3 linked regions of the Danio rerio genome follow. Each later gene encodes a partner of the first gene's protein in a complex. Links are inferred from orthologs where the notes say so. Each region holds a gene or a part of one and is shown on either strand. Other genes may lie near its edges.

Region 1 (3,233 bases):
GGTCCAAATAAACCGAAAAAGAGCGCTTTTAACTTCTCCCCCAGCCTCCCGCTGGCCTGCTGCAGGTACACACACGCACACACAAGTGAATGCCGCTCTCTCATTGGCTGTAGGCGATCGCTGATGTTATTTTCAGTAAAAACTCAATTCACACGGAATGATTTGATTCGCAGACAGCTCCAGATATTCAGCACGCCAAATATCTCACAGGCATCGGCGACTCATCGGCGATTCTTTCAGATTGCGTCTTTGATAGTTCATACTGTGTGATTGTCACTCACAGCACCGATTTGCCTGTGATTTCAGGCATTTGTCTGCGATTTCTCAAAACCTGTCGGCGAGCCAAAATCGGGGCTGAAATCACACAGTCTGAACTAGGCATTACACTAGAGTATGTTTGTAATAAAAGTCTTATGACGCATAAGTTTTGTTATGATTACAAGTAGCATCCACACTACTCCAGCAACTTTGACCAATGGAAATGCAGTGTTTTGAAGGAAGAAAATTAGGTAGGTGATCATGTTGGAAGTTACCTAGATGGGGACTATTTTCAGGTGCTGCATAATGTCATTGTGTCTGCTGGAGCCAAAGTATGGCAGCTCTTTGATTATTACAACAGAATGAGAGTATAGTCCTTGGTTATAAAAGGCTAAAAAAAAATGATTTTTTTTTTTCTGTTAATCTTAGTCCATGATAGAACTACAGAAAAAAATCAAGGTTTGAATTGCAAAATTATCAAAACTCTTCAGTCAATTTTAAGTGAGATGCTTACGGTCTAATCCAATTCAATGATCTATGCTAAGCTACTCTAAAAGGGCTCCCAGCAGACCCAGAAATCAGCTAAATGGATTAAAAAATGGTAAAACTCTTTAAAACATCAATGACGTCAAATAGAGCCATGAAAAAAAAACTTTCTAAAGACTAGAAGCAATAAGGAAGTAGATCTGTTCAATTAAGAAAGTTTCACTTTTGATTTTGGCCTCCACCGACTATGAAAAACAATTATCAAAATAAAAAAAGATTATCATGTCATATTAGATTTATTCATGCTTTTTTCTTTAAATAATAGTTTGAAGCATACACTAAACTGACACCGCTAAGGGTGTCAAAATGATTTGGCCTATGCACTATGTCGCTGTAGAATAATATTGCAAATGGGGCGAGGGCGAGTTAATAAACCACTCCAACTACTTACAGGGTTCGTACGGGTTCTGGAAATCTTGGAAAATGCTTGATTTTTAATAGTGTTTTTTAATAGTGACTTTTAAAAGTGCTTGAATTTGAAATTGCAGGGCTCGAAATTTGTTTACCAGATTTAGGAGATTTAGGTTCACACAGAATGCATATTTGCACATAAAAACGCCAAACGCAGTGCTCAGGAATAGTTTAAAACAGTTGACATGTCAACTTGCAGCAGTAAACAAAGCCTGCAATGCCTGTAAAAATACTAAATATAAGATATAAGATATTTTGAATAAAGTAATATTGATGAAAGATGACAAATTATGGTTTCCAAACAGTTGACATAGGAACAGTTCATTAATTTGCAGCAAGAATATTATATTCTACATTAGGGATTTAAGTTGTTGTTACAGGAATTTTGAATAGCAATGCACATGAAGTTGGAAAAGGTGTAAGAACCCTGTACATATATCACGTGTTTTATTTCAGTCAGTTTATCAGTGACTGTTAAAATTACAGTTTAAGTTTTCATTTATTTGTTAATTTTTAATTTTATTAATTTTAGTTATCTTTTTTTTTTTGTTATATATTTTTAACAGTTTTAATCTTAGTTGCTCAATAAATGAGCTATCTATCCATCTATCTATCTATCTGTCTATCTGTCTATCTATCCATCCATTCATCCATCCATCCATCCATCCATCCATCCATCCATCCATCCATCCATCCATCCATCCATCCATCTATCTATCTATCTATCTATCTATCTATCTATCTATCTATCTACAGTTGAAGTCAGAATTATTCGCCCCCCTTTGATTTTTTTTTCTTTTTTTTTTATATTTCCCAAATGATGTTTAACAGAGCAAGGAAATTTTCACAGTATGTCTGATAATATTTTTTCTTCTGGAAAAAGTCTTATCTGTTTTATTTCGGCTAGAATAAAAGCAGTTTTTAATTTTATAAAAGCCATTTTAAGGACAAAATTATTAGCCCCTTTAAGCTATTTTTTTTCCCGACAGTCTACAGAACAAACCACTACACAATAACTTGCTTAGTTACCCTAACCTACCTAGTTAACCTTATTAACCTAGTTAAGCCTAAAAATGTCACTTTAAGCCGTCTTAAATACTTGAAGTCAAATATTATTTACTGTCACCATGGCAAAGATAAAATAAATCAGTTATTAGAGATGACTTATTAAAACTATGATGTTTCTATATGTGTTGATAAAATCTTCTCCCCGTTAAACAGAAATTGGGGAAACAATAAGCAGGGGGGTTAATAATTCAGAGGGGCTAATAATTCTGACTTCAAATCTATCAATCCATCTCTCCCTCCCTCCCCATCTGGAAGTACAATTTTTGACAAAATAAAATAGTTATATAGCACTTGGTGTGTGATTTGCACTCTAAATGCACTTTCATATGTTAATCTAATGCGTCCTTTTGTTGATGCAGATTGAAAACAAGGAGCTCCGGGGTCTGCTGTCCATCAGCTCTGTGAAGCAGCACAGAGAGGAGAAAAACCCACCGGAGACGACATCTGAGACTGTGGAGAAACAGGAGTCCTAATGGAGGATAATGTTACTTTAGACAGCAGTTTGTGCATTTGTGTGTCAGCTGACCTGGTGTCCACTGACACTAATATCTCTATTGGGTTTTCTAGTTTCCTTCAGAACTGTCCTGGCGGTGGTTTTAGCTCTCTTATGTCCGATCATGCACTTTTTCTGATGTTTAATATTAGAGTTATTAATATTTTAGTTCAGGAAAGACCCATGACCTCTTTGCTTTTAATAATAGACTCTTGAATCGTTAGGCAGATGTGTGTTATAGATCATTTCTTTCTCTGTTTATGTTTGAATTTTCCAAAGATGTAAGTGTTTTTAATTTTAAAATAAGCTTTTTTCGGTCTTAAATTGATTTGTAGCTTCACATTCACTAGGTTTAGAGGGATTGTGGATAGTTCAGCTGAAAATTTTATATTGATTTGATGTTTTGATAAATGTTGGAAGCCGATAACCATTGACTTCCATTGTGTTTGATTTCTTA
Region 2 (4,306 bases), on another chromosome or scaffold:
ATACATACGTTATTTTCATTGCCTAACAAATTGAACCTTACAGTAGAAAACAGCTCTTTTCGGCATTATCATGAAGAGAACAATGACGTTTGGGACTCTTGGGACTGTATGAAAACGTAGCATCGTTTTGATTTTCCAACATAAAAGTCCCTCAAATAATACTTCTATCTATATACTTTCACAGATGACCTAGGAAGTCATTCATACGTAGAATTCAGTAGTATGACCTGTAAATTGGGTATCTCACCATTTGAAAGAGAAGAGGATTTACAGACATTCAAAAAAGTTTCAAATGTAGGATTGGTTAGAGATGTGCAATGAGCCATTATGACTATGAAGATGGTGCTAGCATGACCTACAAACCCTGAGCTAACCCAGATAACAGCAATCAGGCCCGTTCCTGATGTGACTGCTCAGGACATCTCTGCTAAGAGCTATGCCTACTAGCCAAGCAAGCTGACAGGAAGAGTTTCACATCAATTAGATCCAGACACTATCAGAGTAGCACAGAACCACTATCCATTATAACATTAGCAACGTCTCCAGCACTGAAAAGCAGCACCTGGTAATGGACTTAAGCATCTGCATGCAAAGCTGGAGAATCAAAGCGCTCATATTTGGCAGCATGATTTGATTTGGTTCAACTTGCAGCATTTCGTTTGTGGTATGTACGGTATGCGTCTAATGGTTAGATGGCAAGTGAACCTCGGAAATATGGAATGCAAAGCAAATAAACAAGACCAACCCTCTTTTTAGGACCTGCATCGGTATGAGTGTGGGAGGGCTGACTTCCTCTAATGAAAAGTGCACATTAGTTTTGAGGTGGGAGTCATTCTGAAAGTATGTCACAAAACAAGTCTGTACAGGGGTAGTGAAGAGACTCCTCAGCCTCTGAAATGAAGACTGACTGTGTTTACATAATGCCAAGTCCTGCCAGCTCCTTTCCTCATTCACAAAAGCTACACTGCCGTCCACATCTCTAGTAGGCTGAACATATGACAGCTACACCCATTAATACGGGGAGAATGGAGATTTGGCTGTCATAACACACTCTTTCACCCAAAAATAAATCTGTCAAAGTGAGAGGCGAGCAAAAAATACAAAAGTCATGGGGGGAAAAAAGGACAGACAATGTTTGTTGGTAAATCAGTCATCACTCATTCGGTTTACATTATTCTTCATAGGCAAAAAAAACAAAAACATTTATCAAAATAGCTTGCGCCTCCACATAAAGAAACTCTTAATATGTTTAAAAAAAGGAGATGAACAAAGGATGACAGAACTTTAAATAAAATACTTTAAGAACAAGCGGACACTTCTTTTTTTTTTACTAACAAAACTGAAAACCATGGAAACTGTGGTTAAGCCATAGTTTAACCATAGTCTTTGAAGTAAAACTTTAGTTATGCAAATGTAATCAATGCAACAAAAACGTGGTGATGACACTTTTACAACAATAAAACCATGGTTATAATTTACTCAAGTAAACGTTACTGAATGTTACCTGTTAATTATTTGACTGCCAAAAACAACAATATTGTCTAAATGTTGTGTGCTGCACCTCCATGAAACAAACTATTTAACTGATAAAGGTATTTTCTAAATACAAATGCAGGTCAACTGTTAAAAGGTTTGTTATTCTGTCAAACGTGTTGTGTTTTTGTGTTATACAAAGTCTGTCATACAGGTGGAGATTAACATAGGGGTGAGTAAATAATGACAAAAAAAGATAGTGACAAGAGACTTATCCAAATGCCAATGATTCATCCAAAATACTGATCTGACCAGGAGCTAAACTAGTAAGTCTATCTGCTCATAGCGATCTTAAAGGAGAGTGAACCTAAAATGAACAGTGTCATCATTTACACACCCTCGTGTTGTTCCAAACCGGTTTAACACAGTTTGTTTGTCATATGTGTAACACAAGTACAAATATCAGTCAGAGTGTTCGCAACTCGCCTCAAACTCTATTCCCTTTAAATGCAACGTTATGTTTCATTAACGAACGTAAATAGTGACCGTCGCTGTCATCCAGCATTTTTATGATAACTAGTTTTTGCTGATCAGAAAGCCCTTAATGTTCTTTTGAATCTTATAAAAGATGCAGTGTGTAAAACATACTAAAATTGAAGCAGGGTGTGAAAGTGAGCCCCAGTAGGATGGATCAATAAAAAAGCGACCCATACGGACGCCATATTGACCAAAACAAAATGGCAGAACAAGAGAATAGTTGACAAAGTCTGCTGGCTTTCATTGACAGATGCGTCCCGTGACACAATAAATCCGCAACAAACAACTATTAGATCTGCTTCTGTGATCGTGGGTAAGATAATCTGAATCCATCGTAGCGGGTGTCGCGTATTATCGCCAATACAGCGATGTCATGTTAGCTTAGCTTAGCACATCCACACTAGGAACGAGTAAGCGACTCGACTTACTAGATTGCTGTTTTACAATATAGGCATGCTAAATACATATGTCTCGCATGTTTCAAATGAAGAAAGGTTTGTTTATTGACACAACTGCTAGTGTTGAAATTTTGTGTAAACAGGGTGGACAGGAAGCTTGCGAGATGTATGGTAAAATGCTTAGCAATTCAGCCTCAAGCTTTTAATTAAAGCAACCGACGAGTTGTCGGTCGATGCCCCGATTTGGGGTTTCCAATCAGTGTGTCAGCAAAATCCAAAAGTCTACAACGTTACCTGGAGCTCGGCCCTCTCCACTTCCCAATGCGCCCTTTCCATCTCGAAACGGGCCCATTCGTGCTGGATGTAGTGTAAAATCCCCGGGATGGTGTACTGCTGGGGCCTGGGCATCTCGTCTTGCTGTTGCTGAACCATAGGCGCTCCTCCTGCGCTGTTCATCTGAGGATTAATGCTGTTGTTGCCCTGCTGCGGTGCGGGCTGCTGCTGCTGCCTCTGGGCGGCCATTCCTCCTCCTCCTCCTCCACCACCACCTCCTCCTCCTCCGGGCTGTTCATCCATGTTTAAAAATAGGAAAGTCCTGCTAGAAGTCGCCGATTGTTACCCCTCTACCCTCCCTTTTTTACCGTTCGCTTAGCGATGCGACGTCGCCCTGCCCCCAACCGAATAGGCTGGCACCTGAGCGGCTGTTGTGGATTTCGTGTCAGCGCACGGATTTGCCGGCCGCCATTAGTCCGATCCCTGGATGTGAGTCTCCTACTGCGGGGGTGAGCGAGCGAGTGAGGGAGGACTGGCGCGCGCGCTGCATGATGGGACGCGTTCACCCAGCCCTGCGCGCTCTCGAGTCATCCGAATCCAGACTGACGACGTACAGACTCTGCGCATGCGCTTTGTATCTATGATTTTTTTTACTTGATGAGGCGATAAAAATGTGTCGTTGACAATATCTATAGACGTATAGTACGGTTTGTGAAAGGAGAAGTGCTTGAAATAATCAATAGCATCCGTCGAGAATGTTGTTTATTGTTATAATTTAAAGGTGCTATTGGTTTAAGTTTAAATGTAAAATACAATTACAGCAAATTTTAATTGCAATCATTTTTTTAAAATTATAGCAGTTAATGTATATATGTATATATATATATATATATATATATATATATATATATATATATATATATATATATATATATATATATATATATATATATATATATATATATATATGTATGTTATATATATATATATATATATATATATATTAATGATTGAAAAACATTAACAACAAATGTCATCAATCAAACAACAATCCAGGAGTTTTTAGTCATTTAGTCCAAGATGTCAAGTCCTTGTTCGTATTGCTTTTAAGTTTGTTGATCCCTCAATAGACTCAAAATTCATTTTCATTTCATTTTTAAATTTACAAAAAAAAAAAAAAGTTTACACTTTCAAAGCTTGAAATTTGGCCAAAAAAAAAAAAGGTTTAAGAAATAATTAATATTTTCCTTTTTACATTCATGGAAACCAAAGACAACATTTTCATATGTAAAATGTTCCTTCACGTCTTTTATGAAATCAAGAACATCACACCAAAATGTCAGTGAATGAGGGCAATTCCAAAATAAATGAACAGAAATTTCAGGATTCACTAAGCAAAATGAAGAGTTGGTTTTGAAGTCTTTTAAGATTACACTTGTCTGGAAAGCAGAAACTTCTCTCATCTTGTTTGTTAAAAAGTGGGGTAATGACCAAACTCTCTTCCATGAAATATCATTTTCAAAACCATTGCAATATGACATTACATAAGGCACAGTAACAGAATCTTCTTGAAACAGGGCTTTTATTTTCTTATTGCATTTTGTATTAGATAAAGAAAGCCATAA
Region 3 (4,330 bases), on another chromosome or scaffold:
TATGTTTGTTTACTAGTTTATAATTTTTATTTGTTTATGTGAATCTCTTATTTGTATGATGACTTTTTTGTTGTTCTTTGTTGTGTTTATTTGTTAGAGCCCTTTTTATAGAGCCAGATTGGTCTCAAAAATATTACATTTAAATAATATAATTCATATATTCACAACTCAAGTTACAGTTACAAAATCCAATTCATAAATTCTAAACGAGATTCATTAATAAACAAATCCAACTTGTAAATTGAAAACATGATTCATAAATACACAAATCCAATCCATAAATTAAAATCGCGATTTATAAATACACAAATCCAATTCGTCAATTCAAAACGCGACTCATAAATACACAAATCTAACTTGTCAATTCAAAACACGATTTATAAATACACAAATTCAATTCGTAAATTCTAAACGTAATTCATAAATACACAAATACATTCCGTCAACTCAAAATGCGATTCATAAATACACAAATACAATTCGTAAATTTAAAACGTGATTCATAAATACAAAAATCCAATTGGTAAATTTAAAATGTGATTCATAAATACACAAATTTAATTCGTAAGTTCAAAACGCGATTCATAAATACACAAATTTAATTTGTGAGTTCAAAACGCGATTCATAAATACACAAATCCAATTCGTCAATTCAAAACGCGATTCATACATACACAAATTCAATTCGTAAATTCAAAACGTGATTCATAAATACATAAATCCAATTCGTCAACTCAAAACGTGATTCATAAATACACAAATACAATTGGTAAATTCAAAACGTGGTTCATAAATACACAAATCTAATTAGTCAATTTAAAATATGATTCATAAATACACAAATCCAATTCGTAAATTCAAAACACGATTCATAAATACACAAATCCAATTCATAAACTGAAAATGCGATTCATTTACACAAATCAGATTCGTAAATACAAATCGCGATTCAAAAATACTCAATCCAATTCATAAGTTTACATGCAATTTATAATTACTCAAATTCAATTTGTAAATTTAAAATGTGATTCATAAATACACAAATCCAATTCGTAAATTGAAAACACTATACAAAAATACACAAATCTAATTAATTTGGTGAAAGTATTTATGATTTTTGCTTGTGAATTTACAAATTGTTGGTTGTATTTACAAGTTGTGTTTTGAATTTACAAACTGGATGTTGTAAATGTGAATTGTGCTGTGCATGGAGGAGTTTTATTATGTACATGTATTATTTTTGAGACTGATCTGACTGGCTCCATACTTTTTTTGTCTGTTCAACAAATTGTTTTACCTGTTGTTGTCTTGCTTGTTGATTGTAAATGAAATGCTATTACAAAAGAAAAAAATAGCATCCGAAAAATGAACAAACAAACATTATTTTCAATCCGCATGAAAAACGTCATCCTTTTTCTCTGGAAACGCGGATCCGCCTACATTTTCGCGTCACCGCAAAGCCCCGCCCCATATCTCGGTGGTGCGCGAGCCCCGCGGCGGTTTGTGGCCGGTGTGTATGTGTGTGTATATCTCTTCAAGAGGACGACTTACTTCCAATTATCCCGTCGCACACAACGATTTCCCTCCCGATTTCAGCGTTCCGAAAAGCGGAGACCTCCATGGCTTAACACGGGACCGTGTCATGGACTTTATTCGTGTATGACTTTCTTTTCTGGGGAAATTTTTGTGTCTCTCAGCAGGCTAAGCTAGTTACCGAGCTCGCGAGCTAATACTGGATTTACGCAAATTCTCCGCGCATGAAAGTTCCACAGACCGAACAAATAGCTGGTTTTCGGGGATAAATCAGCTCGGGGTTATTTATAAAGTCTCTTCCAGCTTGGACGGCTCGATAAGGTGAAAGTAGAAGGCCAGTGTTACCTCAGCGAAGCTAACAAGCTAATATGAAGTTAGCCAGCTAACGCTCTCGTGCGCAAGAAAACACCCTCCGCGCGAGCTGTGCTCTTGTATACAATCCTGACAGCTAAATACTTGCATTTGAAGTCTGTTTAAGTAGGCATTTGAGGTATTTTTCAATATTAATTACTCTGTCTTGGGGAGTGGTGGCTTGATGGTCTGCTCTGCATACTTCAGCCAAACCCACTCACATTATTATTAATCTTCATTACGGTTTAACATTTTCACAAGTGCATTTCGTGCCTAGCAGTCATTCCCTCTAAATATAGACACGCATGTCAACTTGACAGTAATACTTCTTTTTTTTTTTTAGGAGTAAAGGTTGACCAATTCAACAGGTTATTGGTGTACTAGTTGCTGGGTTGTTTACTGGCCAGGCCTATGCTTGTAAAGGGGGACGAGGATGAATTGTGTTGGGAACGAAGTATAACAGCTCGAATTGTGGACTGTCATCTGGACACCCAGATTTGTATGGAATTGGGCAGCTGTATTGGGTTTGGTTCGGCAACATGGGGGTCTCGCAAGGGGGCAAGAAGTCATCTACATAGTGTATAAATATACAGTCTTGTTGACGTTATGTAGTCGGTTTAGCAGGGGTCTTTTTGTAGAGTTGGAATTTTTTTCGTATTACTATGTGCGTTGGTCTGCTGGTCATTCATTAGGAAGAATTGGAGCAACAGGTCAGTCTGGATCAAGAAACCCTGTCTTTCGTCTCTGGTTGGAGTAACACTCCCAAGCCATCCTCAATGCCTTCAGCGCTGGCCGTGTTCTCCTGCCGCCCGAATTCACACCCGTTTCAGGAACGCCATGTTTACCTGGATGAGCCGGTCAAGATCGGGCGCTCCGTGGCCCGGTGTCGCCCTGCCCAAAACAACGCCACCTTCGACTGCAAAGTGTTGTCGAGGAATCACGCTCTGGTATGGTTCGACCACAAGACAGGCAAGGTAAGTCTGATGTTTCACCAATAGATTGGATGTTAACTATAAACATTATTCATTAGATGTACTTATTTTTTTTAAGGTAAGTGGTTGCAAAAATTAGCATGAGCTGAATTTAAACAAATAAACGTTACTACATTTAGTTTGTTTAAATTCAGTCTATATAAATTGTTTGCAACCACTTGCCTCAAAAAAGTTAGTAAGTCCAATGAATATTTTTTTCAGTGTTTGACATATCCACCTCCATCTTTCTTGAATTATTAAGATTTTCTTTGTATCTATCTGTCAATGTTGTCACAATTGTCTGTACTAGGATTATATAGATAATATCCCCACCCAAAAGTAGATTAAGATGGAATTTATGGCTAAATATACCACTGCATTAGATCAGTGTTTCTCAACCACGTTCCTGTAGGACCACCAACACTGCATATTTTGGATGTCTCCTTTATCTGTTACATTCATTACAGGTCTTTCAGTCTCTGCTGATGATCTAAATCAGGTGTGTTTGGTTAAGGAAACATGGGGTGTTTCTCAATAGGCGTTTTTCAGCGATCCTGCGTCCTCGTGTTCTTCTGTAATGTCGTCATTAACTGCCTATGTTCAGTTCCAAAACTCAAGACGGCAAGAACGGAGGACGCGTGAAAGTTGCCAGATGTGTTCTTGATATCGTAGAGTCATCGATGCAGACTTGAGCACAAAACTTGCTTGAGAAGTCCTAGAAGTCGTTGTGGCTGTATGAAGGAGGTGGGAAGCGCAGCATTTTATTTAGATTTATTATTAAAGTTTAGAGATGTAACTTATTTACTTCAGGAGTTTCCCTAAATGAGACGGTGAATTTAAACATTACCATGTAAATCATAATAATGGCATAAGCACATAAAGGGTGTTTACTTGTTGAAATTCGTGTTAAAATTAGTTTTATTTGTATTGTGAAGCATATATTTGTACGTTTTTTTTATGCATGGTATATATTATGTATGGGGGAAAACAATAAATCGTTGTTGTAGGAATGCTGTAATGTTTAAACCATATTCCATTAAAAACATGTGAAGGTCACGTCACCATCAGGAAGACCCAGGGAAGAACACAGCATCTCATTTCTCACAGGATGCGTTCTCTGTTCTCAGCGTTCTAGGAATTAAGAGACAGTCTAGGAACATGTGCAGAGCTGGTGGTCCTCCAGTAATGTGGTTGAGAAACACTGCATTAGATCACAGGTGTCAAACTCAGTTCCTTGAGGGCCGCAGCTCTGCACAGTTTAGTGCAACCCTAATTAAACACACCTGATGAAACTAATTGAATTCTTTAGGCTTGTTTGAAACACACAGGTAAGAGTGTTGAAGCAGGTTTGGAACTAGACTGCAGGTCAACGTCCCTCCAGGAACTGAAATTGACACCCCTGTGTTATATAGTAAATATATTAGCTTTTTCTTAAAACTAATCCAAAGATTCAATGAGCAAAAAAAAACACTATT

What was found.
Region 2: the proteins of sike1 (region 1) and strn3 are in contact, whole or in part, in a crystal structure (PDB 6AKL), measured with the Homo sapiens proteins. The link is inferred for Danio rerio from reciprocal best matches to the Homo sapiens genes SIKE1 and STRN3. Residues at the interface, in NP_079349.2 of Homo sapiens: Glu96, His97, Ala100, Leu103, Ile104, Ser106, Lys107; in NP_001077362.1 of Homo sapiens: Arg176, Leu179, Tyr182, Leu183, Val186, Tyr188.
Region 3: the proteins of sike1 (region 1) and slmapa are in contact, whole or in part, in a crystal structure (PDB 6AKM), measured with the Homo sapiens proteins. The link is inferred for Danio rerio from reciprocal best matches to the Homo sapiens genes SIKE1 and SLMAP. Residues at the interface, in NP_079349.2 of Homo sapiens: Ile5, Ile8, Leu9, Ala12, Lys13, Leu16, Leu19, Arg20, His22, Asp23, Ala26, Glu27, Leu29, Val30, Ser33, Ala34, Leu36, His37, Val40, Met43, Arg44; in NP_001291349.1 of Homo sapiens: Leu168, Tyr171, Leu172, Glu174, Ala175, Arg178, Glu179, Met181, Leu182, Lys185, Thr188, Leu189, Leu192, Leu193, Ile195, Thr196, Ala199, Ser200, Thr202, Ser203.

Annotation. Positions count from the first base shown.
Region 1 is NC_133198.1:43,061,808-43,065,040, reverse strand, and holds part of sike1 (suppressor of IKBKE 1), read left to right. Parts: intron 1-2,642; coding exon 2,643-2,756; 3' UTR 2,757-3,233.
Region 2 is NC_133192.1:30,183,819-30,188,124, reverse strand, and holds the start of strn3 (striatin-3), read right to left. Parts: upstream 2,931-4,306; coding exon 2,703-2,930; intron 2,324-2,702; exon of another isoform or gene 2,194-2,323; intron 1-2,193. UniProt on the Homo sapiens protein: Calmodulin-binding scaffolding protein which is the center of the striatin-interacting phosphatase and kinase (STRIPAK) complexes.
Region 3 is NC_133186.1:44,735,207-44,739,536, reverse strand, and holds the start of slmapa (sarcolemma associated protein a), read left to right. Parts: upstream 1-1,469; 5' UTR 1,470-2,660; coding exon 2,661-2,858; intron 2,859-4,330. UniProt on the Homo sapiens protein: Associates with the striatin-interacting phosphatase and kinase (STRIPAK) core complex, forming the extended (SIKE1:SLMAP)STRIPAK complex.